Linked DNA regions of Arabidopsis thaliana. The protein of the gene in region 1 interacts with the protein of each later gene in a pairwise test. Each region holds a gene or a part of one and is shown in the gene's direction. Other genes may lie near its edges.

Region 1 (6,135 bases):
TCTACCGAGTTAAAAACCGGGTTAACCAGGCGGTTAACACCGAGTGGTGTAGCTGATTTCAGCCCGGCGGTATCGCCTTCCGGAAATTTAACGGCTGTGGCTTCATACGGAGAGAGAGGCTGGACAGGGGAAGTTGAAGAGCTACGTACGGACATCTATGTATTCTTGACTCGGGATGGGTCTCACCGTGTCAAGGTGGTGGAGCACGGTGGTTGGCCGTGTTGGGTTGATGAGTCGACTCTGTATTTCCATAGAAGAAGTGAGGAGGATGGTTGGATCAGCGTTTACCGAGCCATCTTACCTGAAAACGGACCGTTGACTACTGAGTCGGTGACAATTCAGCGAGTCACACCACCGGGAGTTCACGCTTTCACACCGGCCACGTCACCAAACAACCACGAGTTCGTTGCGGTAGCTACAAGGAGACCAGGCTCGGATTACCGCCACGTGGAGTTGTTTGATCTAAAGAGGAATGAGTTTATAGAGTTGACTCGTTTGGTGGCGCCAAAGAGTCATCACTTGAATCCATTCTTGTCCCCTGACTCGTCTCGAGTCGGATATCATAGTTGTAGAGGCGATGCTAATGGACGGAGAAGTCCTCTGCTCTTCCTTGAAAATATTCAAACCACTACAAGGGACCTCTCTCTCTTTAGAATTGATGGTTCGTTTCCTTCGTTCTCACCTGGAGGTGATCGTATCGCATACGTTAAGATGCCTGGTGTGTTTGTGGTGAAGCCGGATGGTTCAGGGCAGCGTGAAGTGTACAAGGGAATGGCGTTTTCGACAGCTTGGGATCCGGTTCGACCTGGAATTGTGTACTCTAGCTCAGGTCCAACGTTTGCTACAGAGAGAACAGAGGTTGATGTTATCTCTATTGACGTTGATGCAGCCGATAAGTCATCTTCCGTGAGGAGGCTAACGACAAACGGGAAGAACAATGCTTTCCCTTGGCCATCTCCTGATGGTAAGCGGATAGTGTTTCGTTCGGGGCGGACTGGTCACAAAAACCTCTACATAATGGATGCTGAGAAAGGAGAAAGCGGTGGTCTATGGAGGTTAACCGAAGGTGCGTGGACCGACACAATGTGTAACTGGTCACCGGATGGGGAATGGATCGCGTTTGCATCAGATCGAGAAAGCCCTGGCTCGGGTAGTTTTGAGCTCTTCTTGATCCACCCCAACGGAACAGGGTTAAGGAAGCTCATCCAAAGCGGGACGGGTGGGAGAACAAACCACCCGATCTTCAGCCCGGACAGTAAATCATTAGTCTTCACTTCTGATTATGCTGGAATCTCGGCGGAACCGATCTCGAACCCGCATCATTACCAGCCATACGGTGATATCTTCACGGTGAAATTAGATGGCTCTAATGTGAGGAGGCTAACGCATAACTCTTATGAAGATGGGACACCGGCATGGGCCCCTCGGTTCATCCACCCCAACAATGTGGAGCTACAAAGGAGGAATGATTCTAGGTGCTCGTTCGAAGACTGTCACTGGCTCAACAAGTACCCTACACTAAAAGGCCGAAAAATATCTTGTTAATATGTATCTACAGTTTTGTATCCCAGCTTGTAACTCTACTTATAGATTTGTATGAGACTGCCACTGTATATGCATAAGACTTTGTATTATAGAGATCGTTAATGTGATATGTATATCATATTGTCAAAACAGTCGTGATAAGATATCAAACCCTCTTCTAAATGATAGTCTTGCTATTGCGGTTTGGAATCCTCATGAATTATCCAATGTCAATTCAATCTCAGCGTGATTGAAGACAGGTTTTTAAATTCCAAAATCTCTTCTTTAATCACGTTTATAAATCAGTTTTGATACATTATTACTATGTTTTGCGTACGTGTCAGAAGATTACTATCCATGTAATGTCTGAAGAATTAGGTGCGAGTCAAAAGTCATAACAGTCGATAAGATATCAAACCCTCTTCGTGACTTGGAAGGTTTGAGGCGGGGGCGGGAAAATCCAGAAAACGTCGGATAATGTTTATAAAGGAGTCTCTCCGTCACCGGAGAAAAATTAGAAGAAAAAAGAGGCGAAGAAGAGAGAGGAATGGCGCCAGTTCTTCAGAGCTCACAGCCATGGGTTGAGAAATAGTACGATTTCTTCTCACTGATTTTTTATTTCGTTGACGGAATTTATGTGGGGTTTAATAAACTCATTGTTTCCGATTTGGATCTAGCCGGCCGAAGCAGGTTAAGGACGTGGCTCACCAGGAAGAGGTGGTTCGTGTCCTCACCAACACTCTCCAGACTGCTGACGTAATTTCACTATAACCTCTTTGTTTATCGCGAAACAAATCCCTAATTATTAAAATCTGATTTTGTACAAGTGTGAAAAACCCTAGATGTCGAATTTGGTTCTCAATTCTGGGTTTTAATTTTTTGTTTGTCTCTCTGTTGTAGTGCCCGCACATGCTCTTCTATGGACCACCAGGCACTGGAAAAACCACTACTGCTCTTGCCATCGCTCACCAGCTCTTTGGGTAACGTATTCATTTGATAATTTGTGATAGCTGAAATTCGGATGACTTTTTGATTGATTCATTTGTGTGTACTTAGTTTGTATGAGACCTTGTGATCTCTAATATGATACATTCAGATTTGTGATTCAAATAACTCGGTTTTTTTTTTTTTTTATGTAGAAGCTGATATAATATGCACACTCAGACTCTGTGGTTGCATAATGATATACCAACTTCTCCCATTAGGTAGCTAGACAGTATACCAAGATGTGAATTCATAGGAATAGTAATCATTATGATTTTTCTATGTAAGTGGTTAGTTTTTGAAGCTGAATTGTCTTGTTCTTCTTTCCATTGCCTCCATGGGTGTCGTCCCATATGAGTCGGTTTCAGCTTCTTTTGAGAGTAATAATCACAGATTTATTTTCATGAGCCTGGCCTTGTTTTGTTATTTCATTTTGCTATATTATGTGGATTTTTACAATGGGCATGTGAACTAACTATAGAGTGTTTACAGACCTGAACTATACAAGTCTAGGGTGTTGGAGCTTAATGCAAGTGATGACAGAGGTATTAATGTTGTTCGGACTAAGATCAAGGATTTTGCTGCTGTTGCTGTTGGGTCTAATCATCGTCAAAGGTGTCGTACTTTTTATTAAGTTTTTTTTTTTTTTGGGGTCATTTTCTCGTTTCTGCATTTCATCTAAGACCTTCGATTTGATACTTCAGTGGTTATCCTTGCCCATCGTTTAAGATCATCATCCTAGATGAGGCTGATTCGATGACAGAAGATGCTCAGGTACGTTGAACATCTATTATTCACTACCGCATTTGTACGTTTGATATGTGTTTACCATGAGCTATTTTATTGACTGTCCAGAATGCCTTGAGGCGCACAATGGAAACTTACTCCAAAGTCACCAGATTCTTTTTCATATGTAATTACATCAGCAGGTAATTCTGTCACAACAGCCTTTTATTTTTTTTCCTTCTGTTCTCATTTGTTCTCCAATTTTCTCTCTGGTTATTGAAAATGATTGCTTTTTCGTTTATACTTTTGTTATATTTTGGAACATGCTCATAGTGAGCTACTTGCTGAACTATGAACCTACTGATTTTGATCACCCTTACAAACTTTGATCTCTTGTTCTGTAGGATCATAGAGCCCCTTGCTTCCAGGTGTGCGAAGTTCAGGTTTAAACCACTTTCCGAAGAAGTCATGAGTAACCGTATATTGCATATTTGTAATGAAGAAGGTCTCAGCCTTGATGGAGAGGTATGAGCAAATGCTTCAATGTTTTCCGTATTATTTTAGTTTTGTGAAAGCTGATTATTGTAGCCGTTTCCTATTCAGGCTCTTTCAACTTTGAGCTCCATATCACAAGGTGATCTCCGTAGGGCCATCACATATCTGCAGGTAAGATAAAACTATCTGAAATATTTGTTACTAGACGAAATCGACCATAGAAATGTGAAACACTCTTTCTACCTGAATATTGCAGAGTGCTACTCGGTTGTTTGGATCAACAATAACTTCTACAGATTTACTCAATGTGTCTGGGGTAAGGATGAAGTTAACCCAATATTTGCATAAGTGTATGGTAGGTTCAGCCATGTCAGACTTGCTGATGTTTAATATGGATGTCTAACGAATCTATCAGGTAGTTCCTCTAGAGGTAGTCAATAAACTTTTTACTGCATGCAAAAGTGGTGATTTCGATATTGCAAACAAGGAAGTGGATAACATAGTTGCAGAAGGATATCCTGCATCTCAAATCATCAATCAGGTTTTCTATTTTCCTCTCTTATTTTTACCCCATTTAAGTCATGCAACTGTGGCTATAACCCCTTCTATACAACACTCTTTCAGCTATTCGATATAGTTGCGGAGGCTGACAGTGACATAACAGACATGCAAAAGGCTAAGATCTGCAAATGTTTAGCTGAAACTGATAAGGTAAGACTTTCCCGTACTAATTTTCCTTACTTGTGTCTCTTTTAGAGCCTCAAGTGAGATCAATTACCAACATCTTGACTCAATTATATTACGGGTTTTGAGTGAAGTTCACATCTTAGATTTTTGCCATTTGAATCTGTAGATATGTTGCAATCTTGCTAAGGATGTCTCTGTTACCTCTAGTGATAATAAAATATCTCACATCTTTTATTTTTAATGTATCCAGCGACTTGTAGACGGGGCGGATGAGTACTTGCAGCTTCTGGATGTGGCAAGCAGTACAATTTGTGCCCTCTCAGAAATGGCTCAAGACTTCTAATGCAAATTCTGCTTGAATTGGACCTGTGCCTTAAGACTTATGAGACTATCATAGTGTAGGTTTTGATAAAAAGTTGGAGCGTTATGACGTTTTACTGGTTACTTATCTGTTATTGTTTTAAGAAAAACTATTAGATATATTTATTGCATCATTACTTAAGTCTATTTGTTTTGTGGGTAAGATCATTAAATATCATTACAATGTGAAATACATGATCGAATCAAAATAATTAACATCTCTTATAACCAACAAAATCATGACCAGATAGCTTGATGGACATTGCTTCTGTTGTAAGAATTAGTGAATCCCTTTATCTATATCCAATATTGACACCGTAAAAGGAGTAATGTGTTTCTTTACTAGTTGGATATATATACAGTGTAGATCCCAAAATGTAAATATAAAAATAAAAAATATAGTAGATTTATATAATTATATTTTTCTATTTATTACCTCTAATAATCAAAATAGTAAAATCCTACGAAAATGTAATAAAATACAAGAGGATTAATATACATATCCACATAAAAGGAAGATTCGGATACACATCCAAACTATAGAAAACATTAGTAATGCCATAAATAAATAAAAATGCTGTCAAGACACAAAATTCGTTGAATGTTATAGTCTTCACATAAAACTGTCATAAATCTGGATACGTTCTAAAAATAATTGATCTAATCTAAATCTATAAGTAGTTTCTTATTAGTAGAATCCTTATGAATCTTAATTTGATCAAGACAGAAACGCTTTTGTTTACTTTTACCTAATGGTCGATGGTGACGATTCTTTCAAGAGACCCGGAGCTGTGCCTTTTAAGTGGGAGATCCGACCCGGTGTACCTAAAACCCGACCCGGTGATGATGATCCAGCTCTTCTTCAACCACCTCCTCCTAACAAACTTCCTCCTCTCAAATTAAAATCAACTCCGCCGTCGAATTCGCCATCTCCGTCGTCTTCTTCTTCTTTCTTCTCTGAATCCAGAAGCCGACCAGTCTCTCCCTTCGCTCCTCCTCCGTCTTTCAAGCTGAAATCGCCTTCAGATTCCGACTCCAACTGTTCAGCATCTCCGACTCCATATTTCCGATCTTCTTCTCCTCGTGCCGGTGGCTCATTGCCTCGGTGTTTTTTTCCCAAGTCATTATTTGGGTTGAAAAAGAGTAAGAGCGGCGATTTAAAAAAGACCGGTCAGCAGGAACCATCATCAACAACATCGGAGTCTGACAATTTCTATGAATCGGGAACAACGCTTTCTCCGTCGGAAGAAGATTCTAGCCAGGGATCGCCGGTATCTTCGAGGTGGAGTTCGCCGAAATCGTCCTTCTCTTCTCGCCGTGGTTCGCCGCTAAAACGGACTGATTCGGATTTAAGCTCTT
Region 2 (6,119 bases), on another chromosome or scaffold:
AACCATATATTCCGCGTAGCTTCTCAGCAGGAACTAGGAAGCATCACCGACACTGACACACCACCCCATTGGATCGATGCTTCAATTTTTATTTCCAGTAATACATTTACATGAGTCATCAAGGTTGTTTTCTCTTCCAAAATATAAAAAAGTTCATCATATACAGGTTCATACATTTTAGATGCTTTGGGACAAATTTAAAAGATATATTCCTTAATATCATAATTTTTTTATATACTTCTTCTTTTAACAAAAACATTAGGTGCCTTTTGAGTATATACAAAAAACAAATTGTGTCCATCTTGTATAGATTTTTTTTTTTGTGCCCTATAAATTTATGTATATGTAGTTATGTACCCTATAAGTTTATATTATCGGCCCCTATAGTTAAGCCGGCATTGACTATATATTTTTATGGAAAATTTAAGAGTTTTCTTTTTGTTTTGTTATTTTTCTTTTTAATTGTTTCATCAAGTTAAGTTTCGTTTCCAATTCCTCTTAGAATGATTTTTATCTCTTGTGTTAGGTCACGCTTTACTAGTTTACACTCCTCTTTAGAATGATTTATCTCTTGTATGAGTTTTGTTTTTGTCTTTTTGTTAAGAATTTAAATATTCCACTAAAATGAAAAGTGTTAGGATTTTCATGAAGTAAAGCCTGAAGTTTTTGGTCTTATGGCAAAAAAAGAAAAAAACATGAAAACAAAAGAAATCAATCCATTGACATCAACAAAACAAATTACGTTTTTGAGTCATAAAGTGATATAACAATTTTGAATAACTACCAATATATATGTCCTCAATCTTGTGTGAGTTCAAGGCTTTATGGGTTACATCGTTATACTTAGTTTATGTAAGAAATTTGTAAATTTGAATGGGTTAAAACTTCTGATCTAAATAACGAATTGGTAGGAAACTTTTTTTTGTCTTGTTAATATTTGATGGTTTTAGCCAAAGTAATACATAAAATAATTATTTAGTGACCAAAACTTATCGCATATTTGATGATTTAAGCCATAGTAATATGATTTGTATTAGTGACGTTGATGGTTTAATATATGATTTAGTGATACTTAGTGAACGAAAGATACAAATTAACATATGGTTTACCAAAGTAACGCAGCGTCACTAGTGACCAAAACTTAGCGTATATTTGATAGTTTAAGTCAAAGTAATATACTAATATGATTTGTATTAGTGACGTTGCATTGTCACTATCCAAGTTTACACTTATATGTTATTTTTTGTTAAAAATATATATTTATAGTTAGAATTCTATATTCGATAGCATTACCGAAAGTCGAAAATTTAATCATAGGAATCATTGCCAATCGAAATAATGCTAATTAAATTTTATTTCATATAAAAATTTGATGAATAAACTATTCAACGACTATCCTTAAAGAGTTTTTTTTTTTTTAATAGTCAGCTAACGCATTTCACCGATTGTATTTGTAGCCTTGTAGGTAGAGTCGAATTTCCGACGCGACTAGAATGCTAGCATAAGAGACTTCACCACTTTGTTACGAAGCCAAGAATCTTCTTGTTTTAAAAAAAAAAATCAAGACAAAATTGTCGTCCCTCATATCTATATTCAATTCATTTCAAAACGTTATTTATGTCTTAAAATTTGGAACTAGGCCACAAAGAATGACTTTGGTCATCACAAAATTATAAATTTAATAAAAATTTGGACCACTATAGGCATAGCTATTGCCTATTATAATCTCTACTATTACTTTATGATTTATCTACTATTCCGAAAGTGTAATTGTTTAATACGTCATCACATTGCAGCAATCCACACACAAGCCACGTCATTCATATGCCGTTCGTATTTGCTTTCGTCACTTCCTTCCGTCATCAATAGTGACGGCTATTTCTTAATATTAATCTTCTTGACTTAATGCTATTTCGTGACGGCATTAATTGGCATATCATTACAAGTTATTTACACCTAAGAAACAAATTAAAACTATTGAATAATATGATGTAAATAAAAATATATTAATGATGTGATATATCGCAGTCAAATAAAAATAGTGATTTTGATGAGAAAAAAAATATGTGTTTATCCATAGATTTGTTAAATTAGAGAAAGATGTGGAAAATGTTAGTGAGTGGCGTCATACACGGAGAACCTTTGGCATCATACACGGATTTTTCTAGTCTTTGTTTTCTATTTGTCAACTTTCATTTGAGTCTTTCTTTATACACTTTATTAGACCATGTTTTTAATTCTAATGCTTATTAATTCATATTATTAAATTTACAAAAAAAACTATTATATTAACTCTCTTGTTTCCTCTGTATCTTCCTTCACATTGAAGCTGTCTCTTTCTTTCACCATCACTTGCACCTGTTGTGTCCTGTTTGTTCTCAATTTCATCATCATTTATCCTTTATATACCTCTCTTTCTTTCTTGACTTTTCCTCTAAATTCTCTTCCTTTTTATCTCTTTGATACATCTCAATTTGGTTCTTTTGCCTTCTCTTTGATCTTATCTCTTACGATTGTGCAGATCTCAATCTCTATATCCTTGGTTGTGTCAGATTCTCTTAGGGTTTATTTTCTCTCCCAATTTTGTTTGATTCCTTGTCCAAAGTTTCTTCCTTTCCTTTTGACTTTTTTTTGTGGTACATTGAATCAGAGGTGTAAGAGTAATAGTTTCATAACTCAAATCCCCAAGTGTACAAATTTTCCTCTTTTGGTTCTGGGTTTGGTTGATTCCTTGTTAGAAATGTAAATTTAGGGCTTTTGTATCTGAAACCGATCTTCAGACTTGTGTAATCTTCTTGATCTTCATGCAAGATTGATAATTCTACAAGAAGAAGAAGAAGAGAAAATGGCTACTTTGACTGAGCCATCATCATCTTTGAGTTTCACATCTTCTCATTTCTCTTATGGTTCTATTGGGTCCAATCACTTCTCATCAAGCTCAGCTTCTAATCCTGAAGTTGTTAGTCTAACCAAACTCAGCTCCAATCTTGAGCAGCTTCTTAGTAATTCAGATTGTGATTACAGTGATGCAGAGATCATTGTTGATGGTGTTCCAGTTGGTGTTCATAGATGCATTTTAGCTGCAAGAAGTAAGTTTTTCCAAGATTTGTTTAAGAAAGAAAAGAAAATTTCGAAAACTGAGAAACCAAAGTATCAGTTGAGAGAGATGTTACCTTATGGAGCTGTTGCTCATGAAGCTTTCTTGTATTTCTTGAGTTATATATATACTGGGAGATTAAAGCCTTTTCCATTGGAGGTTTCGACTTGTGTTGATCCAGTTTGTTCTCATGATTGTTGTCGACCTGCCATTGATTTTGTTGTTCAATTGATGTATGCTTCCTCTGTTCTCCAAGTGCCTGAGCTAGTTTCATCTTTTCAGGTGTGTGAAAAGTCTTCTTTTTTCTTCGGTCTCTTTGTTTCTTAATTCATAGACCTCAATGAGAACTAAAAGGTTTGTGTGCTTGCAGCGGCGGCTTTGTAACTTTGTGGAGAAGACCCTTGTTGAGAATGTTCTTCCCATTCTTATGGTTGCTTTCAATTGTAAGTTGACTCAGCTTCTTGATCAGTGTATTGAGAGAGTGGCGAGGTCAGATCTTTACAGGTTCTGTATTGAAAAGGAAGTTCCTCCCGAAGTAGCAGAGAAGATTAAACAGCTTCGACTTATATCCCCGCAAGACGAAGAAACCAGTCCCAAGATTTCGGAGAAATTGCTTGAAAGAATCGGTAAAATTCTCAAGGCCTTGGATTCAGATGATGTTGAGCTTGTGAAGCTTCTTTTGACTGAGTCAGATATCACTCTAGATCAAGCCAATGGTCTGCATTATTCTGTTGTGTATAGTGATCCGAAAGTTGTTGCCGAGATTCTTGCTCTGGATATGGGTGATGTGAACTACAGGAATTCCCGGGGTTACACGGTTCTTCATTTTGCTGCGATGCGTAGAGAGCCATCGATCATTATATCGCTTATCGATAAAGGCGCCAATGCATCTGAGTTTACATCTGACGGACGTAGCGCAGTTAATATATTAAGAAGACTGACAAATCCAAAGGATTATCATACCAAAACAGCTAAAGGGCGTGAATCTAGTAAAGCCAGGTTATGCATCGATATCTTGGAAAGAGAAATCAGGAAGAACCCCATGGTTCTAGATACACCAATGTGTTCCATTTCTATGCCTGAAGATCTCCAGATGAGACTGTTGTACCTAGAAAAGAGAGGTAATTGACTGAAAATTACTGAATTCTTCTGTATCTTTACTACATTTTTGTTAAAGCTTCTACCTTTTTTGCAGTGGGGCTTGCTCAGTTGTTCTTTCCAACGGAAGCTAAAGTTGCTATGGACATTGGTAACGTAGAAGGTACAAGTGAGTTCACGGGTTTGTCACCTCCTTCGAGTGGGTTAACCGGAAACTTGAGTCAGGTTGATTTAAACGAAACTCCTCATATGCAAACCCAAAGACTTCTTACTCGTATGGTGGCTCTAATGAAAACAGGTAACAAAAAGCTTGCTCTCTGTAAGTCTACCCTTCATCTTCTTATGTTGCTCATTTTCTCTTGACTGACTTCATTACCGTTTCACAATGCAGTTGAGACTGGTCGAAGGTTTTTTCCATATGGTTCAGAGGTTCTAGATAAGTACATGGCTGAGTATATAGACGACGACATCCTCGACGATTTCCATTTTGAGAAGGGATCTACACATGAAAGAAGATTGAAAAGAATGAGATATAGAGAGCTTAAGGATGATGTCCAAAAGGCATATAGCAAAGACAAAGAGTCTAAGATTGCGCGGTCTTGTCTTTCTGCTTCATCTTCTCCTTCTTCTTCTTCCATAAGAGATGACCTGCACAACACAACATGAAACTGCACCATAAGTCAAATGTAATTAGATATCTTTGTTAAAAGGGTTTTTTCTTTATGGATGTTACTCAGATTTTATACAGATGCTTTAGGTTCAGTTTCAATAAAGAGAGATGGATAGATAGATGTACAAGATTAGGAGTGCTGATTAACCCAAAACGTTCTAACTATACGCAATCTTTTGTTTTCAATACAAAAATCTAATATTTAGGTTATCTACAAGATATTCTCAGATACCTGAAACTTAAACAAACAAAGACACTCCACAAAAAGTCAGGAAAAAACATGATCATTTGTCAATCATAGCTATCTCTTTACATAATTACAGAAGATAAGACTACTGGTGGCTAAGAGTAAAGAACAAAAACCATTCTTCCAAACAACCTGTAATAATGCATTCTGAACAGAACTGTCACATGTATGTCCCAGTAAGTAGATGTTAGCTGCTCTCTTTGGCATAGGGTCGGGGCAGGGGCTTGTCTGACCAATACTGTCTATCTGTCTTCTTCAACAAAGAAAGCATTTCAAGTTGCATTATATGTTAAGTGTGCCTTTCCAACATCGTAAAGCAATAGAAGAATATTGTACCAACGAAGGACTGTGCCTTTCCAATTTGTCACTCTGTTCAGTCCAGTCTAAAATTCACTTCACTGAGTTCAGTGGCGTTTCAACATTACGGAGAGCCTTTGTTCTTTCAGCTTTCTCGAAGTCCTTCCTTGTTCGTTTGTTGGCATCTATATCTATACTGATGAGTAGAGAGGTACAATCAAATCCACAGGCGGAAATACTTCACTATGCATCGACATATTCTGTGATCCTCTCCATCGCACTGAGAATTTCCAGGTTTCACTGGTTGTGAGCTAAGCAATGAGAAAATGTTATAGATCAACAGACATCTGCACTAGATTGAAGATAACGTTATATCATTGAACGGACCAGTTAATCAGGTAGATGCTTTCTTTATATTTTCCCAAGTAGCTGGACCTTCCGGGTGGGTATTGACAAAGTATGGCACAATAAGGGTATTAGAAATACCGACAACAGTGCCTAGTGTCAGCCTCGGTATTACTGCATCTCTTTCCCTCAACCAAATGTACATTGTGAATCTCTGATGTATTCTCTTCATACTATAACACAAATATGTTGGGGACTCTATCACGGATTCTATTGGATAAACCAAATAATCTATTAGCATAATGATCTTCTTTTCTATGATATCTTTCGGCCGGTTAAGTATATGAGGCGCCCGCTTAACAAGC
Region 3 (5,052 bases), on another chromosome or scaffold:
GATACAACATCGATGAACCAGAGGCGGTTAAAGCAGCAGAAGAAGCTCACAAGGAGATGCTTGATTGGTTTGTGACCTACATCAAATGATTTGAGAAAGAAAGAAAGGTATTGTCTATTACTTCATATATGCAAAGAATAAAAATTAAAGAGAGACAAAGCAAAACTCTTGGTTGGTGTTTCAATTTCTACTTTCTATAGTCTTTTGAAGCATTCTCTGAGATTCTGTGATACCTTTTGTTAATCATTGTTTTATGATTTTTATATGTTGACGATACGTTACCCTTCTCATCATCTTCTTGTGGTAAGCAAAAAAAGTTACCAAAACAAACTTTGATTGAAATCAATGTCTTCTTCGACTAAAGAAGTAAAAAAGATATTGTACATATATACAGAAATAATCAATTCTTCTTCTTCTTGATGAATTTGATAGTCAAAACGCAAAATTATTGATTGTTGAGACTTGAGACCTTGAGTAATTTTTTTTTTTTTGGGTCAAATGAGAGTAATTTATAAGAGTCAAAATCATTACATGAAAATGATTTAAGAGAGTTTGTCCACACACAAAAACCTAAAAAAAAGAAAACTAGTAATTGACAAAATTATACGATAAATTTATTGTATAAGAAATTGATCCATATATTATTTATATTGTTGCTTAAAAATCGTGCAAAAATGTGGACAGAAAAAAAAAACTTGCCAAAACAAGAAGATATTGCTCAAGAAAGTCACTAGGTTCTTTAGAGAAATCAAATAAAATCTCAATTCATAATCAATGTAGATTTCTCATAATTAAATTTGTATTACAAACTTACAATTATCAAAAACAAAATCTGTAATTACACAAAAAAAAAAAAGGAAAATAGAAACAAAAAAAAATCCGCAGAATATCTCCAAAAATCAATTCTACTAACACAAAAACAATAATACTAATAAATCTATTTTTCTATTTTCAAGGAAAAGGAAACAAACCTTTATAGCTCCTCTCTATCGTCTCGTCTCTATAAATAAACGAGAAGCTCACAAATTCCACAAAAATCCACTCTAACTATGAAACAATTAGGGTTTTGAAATTTACCTAAATCTCTCCGTAATCATCGATCAAAACGATGCTCGAGTGTCAATCAATGATGGAGAAATTATCACCGTTCGTAGACGTCGCCTCTCTGGAAATCGAGTCTCTGCGAAGAATCAAACGCCCGAAACGCTTCTCTGAAGAAGAATCAGAAGAAACCGAGAATACGACGAATTCATCAAACGCGGTATTCGGATTCCCTAACTTACCAGAAGAACCGAATCGCGATATGGATCAAAGCGTTTTGTGCAGAATCTGCGTTCGATTACCAGATGGGAGAAGAATACAGAGAAGTTTCTTAAAGAGTGAATCTGTTCAGCTTCTTTGGTCGTTTTGTTATTCGCAGATTGGTGATGAATCTTCTGAGAGAAAGCGGCGTTTTAAATTGATTCAAGGGTTTCCTGGGGATTATAAGAATCTTTATTTTGGATCTAATACTACTTTTGAACAATCTGGGCTTGCTAATTCCTTGGTTTCTGTTACTTGGCTCTGAAGAATCTTCTTTCGATCTGTAATTAGAAAAATAATTTCTTTCTTCTACCAAGTTTATGTTTACTCAATTTCTCGAATTTGTACTTGGAAATTGCAAATTTCATTTGGTTTTCTTGAATCGTTGTTAGATATTTCCGATCAAATCGTTTTTAGATAACACTGTTTCAAAGTCAATGTCGTCATCATCATACAAGAAGAACGTATAGTTTTTGGTTTATCTTTTTGTTGCTTCTTAAGTCACTCTTTCTCGCATAGTTTTTGAGGTGACGAAGTTACGTATACGGTGACGTAGCAAACCAAGCCCATAAGCCCAAATTCTAAACAAGCCTAAGACAAGTGAGCAAGGAGTGGGTAAACCAAACCATACCAAAATGAAACCGACAAACTCGTCGATATGTGCCAGGACCGGGCTTAGAGGGTGTGCTGAGGGTACATTTGTACATTGTCCATTACTTTTTAGTCAGATTTCTTAAAGCAATTAGGGTCCTATTTCTAAACAAGCCTAAGACAGCATCAAGTGAGCAAGGAAGTACTTCATGTTCATGCACAATTTCTAGGAATGGGAAAGACCGTACCAAAATGGAAACCGAGAAACTCGTCGAGACCGGCTTTGATTAGATAGTCTATCGAAGTAAAATATCGAACTTCGATGGACTATATTGAAGTAGATTTGTGCTCTACTGCCCTCGAAAAAAACATTAAAGTAGATTACTACTACGTCATAATAACAAACAGTCTTTAACAACAACATCATCATCACTCGATACATCTCTGCCTCTGTACAGTTTTGCTGACATATTCACAACACCGTTGCCTCAGTTTCAGCCAAGTACACTACTTCTTACTAATCCAGGGGGCCTAATAGCAGGAAACCAAGCCTACAAAGCACAAATCCCAAACACAAATTTTTGAGTATAATATAAGGACTGAGCTAATAAGTTAAAACATTTCTGATTTTTCTGATAGAAAGGAAATTTTACTATTTGGCCCTCTTTGAACACATCCTTCCCTCTCCTCCTCCTCCTTCCCCCAAAAAACCTGGAGAACCATGCAGTTGCAATTTCCTCTTTAACCCATTTCAAAGATTCGTTTTTTTTTTTTTGTAAATCTCTTTCTCCTTTGGCGAATTCGTATTCCTTCTTTTCCAATGTAAGTTCTTCTTCCTTGATAATCGAATTCTTCTTTTGATCTTAAACCAATCACTACTCCGTCGTTGTAATCGTAATTCTCGATTCACCGTTGTTCGGTTATAAGATCATTCATCAGAATCGGATTCCATTATTTCGGTGACCTGGATTTTGATTTTGATTTTGATTCTTGCTGCTATGATCACGATCTTGATATGTAAACTCTCTTCTTCTTTTTTCTGATTCGATGAAATCAGGAGTTCTAGAGACAGAGGATCACCTTCTTCTTCTTCGTCATCTTCTTCGTTACCAGGAATAGAAAAGTATAATGAAAAGGTGAAGAATCAGATACAAGCTCTTGTTCGTGTTATTAAAGTTGCTCGTACCTATAGAGACGACAATGTCCCTTCCCTTATTGAACAGGTTACTACTACTACTAATACTCATAGGTTTTTTCTACCAACCAAATGACCAATGATTCATTATCAAAGATCAAACCTTTTGTTGAATTTGACTTTTTCAGGGTCTTTATCTTGGATCTGTTGCAGCAGCTAGTAATAAGAATGTTTTGAAATCTTACAATGTTACACATATTTTGACTGTTGCTAGTTCGTTGAGACCAGCTCATCCTGATGACTTTGTTTACAAGGTTGTTCGAGGTATAAACTTATTAAAGGTTTCACTTTGTTATCTAGTTGAAGAGAGAATATGTTTTTGATTTTGGGATGGAATTGCTTGTTTGATTGTTTTTCTATGTGATAGTCGTGGATAAGGAAGATACAAATCTAGAAATGTACTTCGATGAGTGTGTTGATTTCATTGATGAAGCCAAGAGACAAGGCGGTAGTGTTCTTGTTCATTGCTTTGTTGGCAAATCACGGAGGTCAGTTTTGTTTGCTTCCTTCAATATCTAGCGGTTTTCGCCTTGTTTGCTGGATAGTATTCAAAACTAAGTACATATTTAGCCTGGATGGTTTGTCCCTTTTACTTGCAGTGTCACTATAGTTGTTGCTTACCTCATGAAGAAACACGGTATGACTTTAGCTCAAGCATTGCAACATGTTAAAAGCAAAAGACCCGTGGCAAGTCCTAATGCTGGTTTCATCAGACAATTACAAGACCTCGAGAAGTCTATGCAAGGTATGCCTTACTATAATATCTTGAGGTCTAGACTATTAGGTTGAGATCTCTGTGGTGAATCTAAGTTGGAGATACTTTGTCTGTCTGATTCAGTAGTGAGTGACCAGTTTTTTTCCTTTTGAGGATGAAAAGCAAGTGGTTGTGGAGGAGAAGACAGTTCCATGTAAATATCTCTTACATGCATCTTCCTTCTTCTCTATAAAACAGGGAAGCAAGTTACGATTGCACAATGTCAGGCGTGAAGATCATTGATCGTACCATTGGGAGAAACTTGTAAATCTCACACGAAGCATCAATCAAAATGTTTTGTTGTTTCTTCTCCTTAACAACTCGAATAATAACATGGAAACGAATTTGGAATATGTTCATGTTCTCTATTCGTTTTGTATAGTTTCATCATCATGGATATAAAAGTGAACATAAATAAAAATTTGTAAATTTTTTGTACCGCAATGAAATGTCTTTTTTGTGTGTAAAAGTTCATGGGCTGTCATTGTTTAATTTGAGCCCGTATAGTTTAAACAGTTCATGGACCTTGTGAAACATTGGGTTTTATAGTCAATAAAAAACTGTGGGGTGATTTAGGACAGACTTATAAGGTTAGGGGTCATATTAGAATTCTCTTAAAGTTGCTTCCAATTGTGAGGAGGCACTAAAACCCTAGACTCCATATCAATCAATCGAAAAACCTTTCTCTCTTCTTTCGGAGCCGTCGCTTGTGAAACTTTCCGGCGATTTAACAGAGTCATGATGGAAATACGAACTCCGAAGACTGGCAAAGCCAAGCGTGTTCTCGAAAGCCGAGCTCCTAAGTTGGTAAAGTTCTCTTCTTTTTCTCCTTCGTCCTTCTTAAAACCGAGAAGTGAATCATGTTGAGAGCTGTCTTCAATGTTGTTTTGACATCTATGAGACTCATGGGTTTTCTATTTGTCGATAAATTTATCAAAGAATCGATTGAAAGTTGCAAACTTTGTATCTGAATTGGTTGTTTTTGGAATTTGTAGGTTGAAACTGGGAAGAAGACGTTGATACTTCATGGAACAAAGACGAGTGCTACACTTAGCTCTGTAATGACGGAACTCTACCGTTTGAAGAAGGGAGGTGCCATCAGATATTCAAGGAGGAATGAGAATATTAGGCCTTTCGAGAGTGGAGGTGAAACTTCATTAGAGTTCTTCTCTCAGAAAACAGATTGTAGCATTTTTGTGGTAAGTTCATA

The links.
Region 2: the proteins of EMB1968 (region 1) and NPR3 interact in binary tests that used the Arabidopsis thaliana proteins (3 or more experiments, as listed by UniProt).
Region 3: the proteins of EMB1968 (region 1) and DSPTP1 interact in binary tests that used the Arabidopsis thaliana proteins (3 or more experiments, as listed by UniProt).

Annotation. Positions count from the first base shown.
Region 1 is NC_003070.9:7,613,604-7,619,738, forward strand, and holds EMB1968 (ATPase family associated with various cellular activities (AAA)), read left to right. Parts: upstream 1-2,010; 5' UTR 2,011-2,071; coding exon 2,072-2,115; intron 2,116-2,201; coding exon 2,202-2,280; intron 2,281-2,424; coding exon 2,425-2,504; intron 2,505-3,000; coding exon 3,001-3,123; intron 3,124-3,212; coding exon 3,213-3,282; intron 3,283-3,363; coding exon 3,364-3,437; intron 3,438-3,638; coding exon 3,639-3,759; intron 3,760-3,837; coding exon 3,838-3,900; intron 3,901-3,985; coding exon 3,986-4,045; intron 4,046-4,144; coding exon 4,145-4,270; intron 4,271-4,353; coding exon 4,354-4,440; intron 4,441-4,666; coding exon of another isoform or gene 4,667-4,719; coding exon 4,720-4,818; 3' UTR 4,819-4,963; downstream 4,964-6,135. Other genes in the region: AT1G21680 (DPP6 N-terminal domain-like protein), read left to right, coding at 1-1,545; AT1G21695 (hydroxyproline-rich glycoprotein family protein), read left to right, coding at 5,529-6,135. UniProt on the Arabidopsis thaliana protein: May be involved in DNA replication and thus regulate cell proliferation.
Region 2 is NC_003076.8:18,226,474-18,232,592, forward strand, and holds NPR3 (NPR1-like protein 3), read left to right. Parts: upstream 1-2,294; 5' UTR 2,295-2,845; coding exon 2,846-3,379; intron 3,380-3,467; coding exon 3,468-4,218; intron 4,219-4,292; coding exon 4,293-4,493; coding exon of another isoform or gene 4,494-4,558; exon of another isoform or gene 4,559-4,586; coding exon 4,587-4,861; 3' UTR 4,862-5,105; downstream 5,106-6,119. Other genes in the region: AT5G45113 (mitochondrial transcription termination factor-related / mTERF-like protein), read right to left, coding at 5,804-6,119. UniProt on the Arabidopsis thaliana protein: Salicylic acid (SA)-binding substrate-specific adapter of an E3 ubiquitin-protein ligase complex (CUL3-RBX1-BTB) which mediates the ubiquitination and subsequent proteasomal degradation of NPR1 in response to SA.
Region 3 is NC_003074.8:8,475,567-8,480,618, forward strand, and holds DSPTP1 (dual specificity protein phosphatase 1), read left to right. Parts: upstream 1-2,555; 5' UTR 2,556-2,713; coding exon 2,714-2,715; intron 2,716-2,950; coding exon 2,951-3,116; intron 3,117-3,216; coding exon 3,217-3,352; intron 3,353-3,455; coding exon 3,456-3,576; coding exon of another isoform or gene 3,577-3,607; exon of another isoform or gene 3,608-3,687; coding exon 3,688-3,833; coding exon of another isoform or gene 3,834-3,877; exon of another isoform or gene 3,878-3,926; coding exon of another isoform or gene 3,927-3,955; exon of another isoform or gene 3,956-3,969; coding exon 3,970-4,085; 3' UTR 4,086-4,275; downstream 4,276-5,052. Other genes in the region: AT3G23600 (alpha/beta-Hydrolases superfamily protein), read left to right, coding at 1-89; AT3G23605 (Ubiquitin-like superfamily protein), read left to right, coding at 1,109-1,567; AT3G23620 (Ribosomal RNA processing Brix domain protein), read left to right, coding at 4,581-4,649, 4,838-5,041. UniProt on the Arabidopsis thaliana protein: Has a dual specificity toward Ser/Thr and Tyr-containing proteins. Dephosphorylates MPK4 in vitro.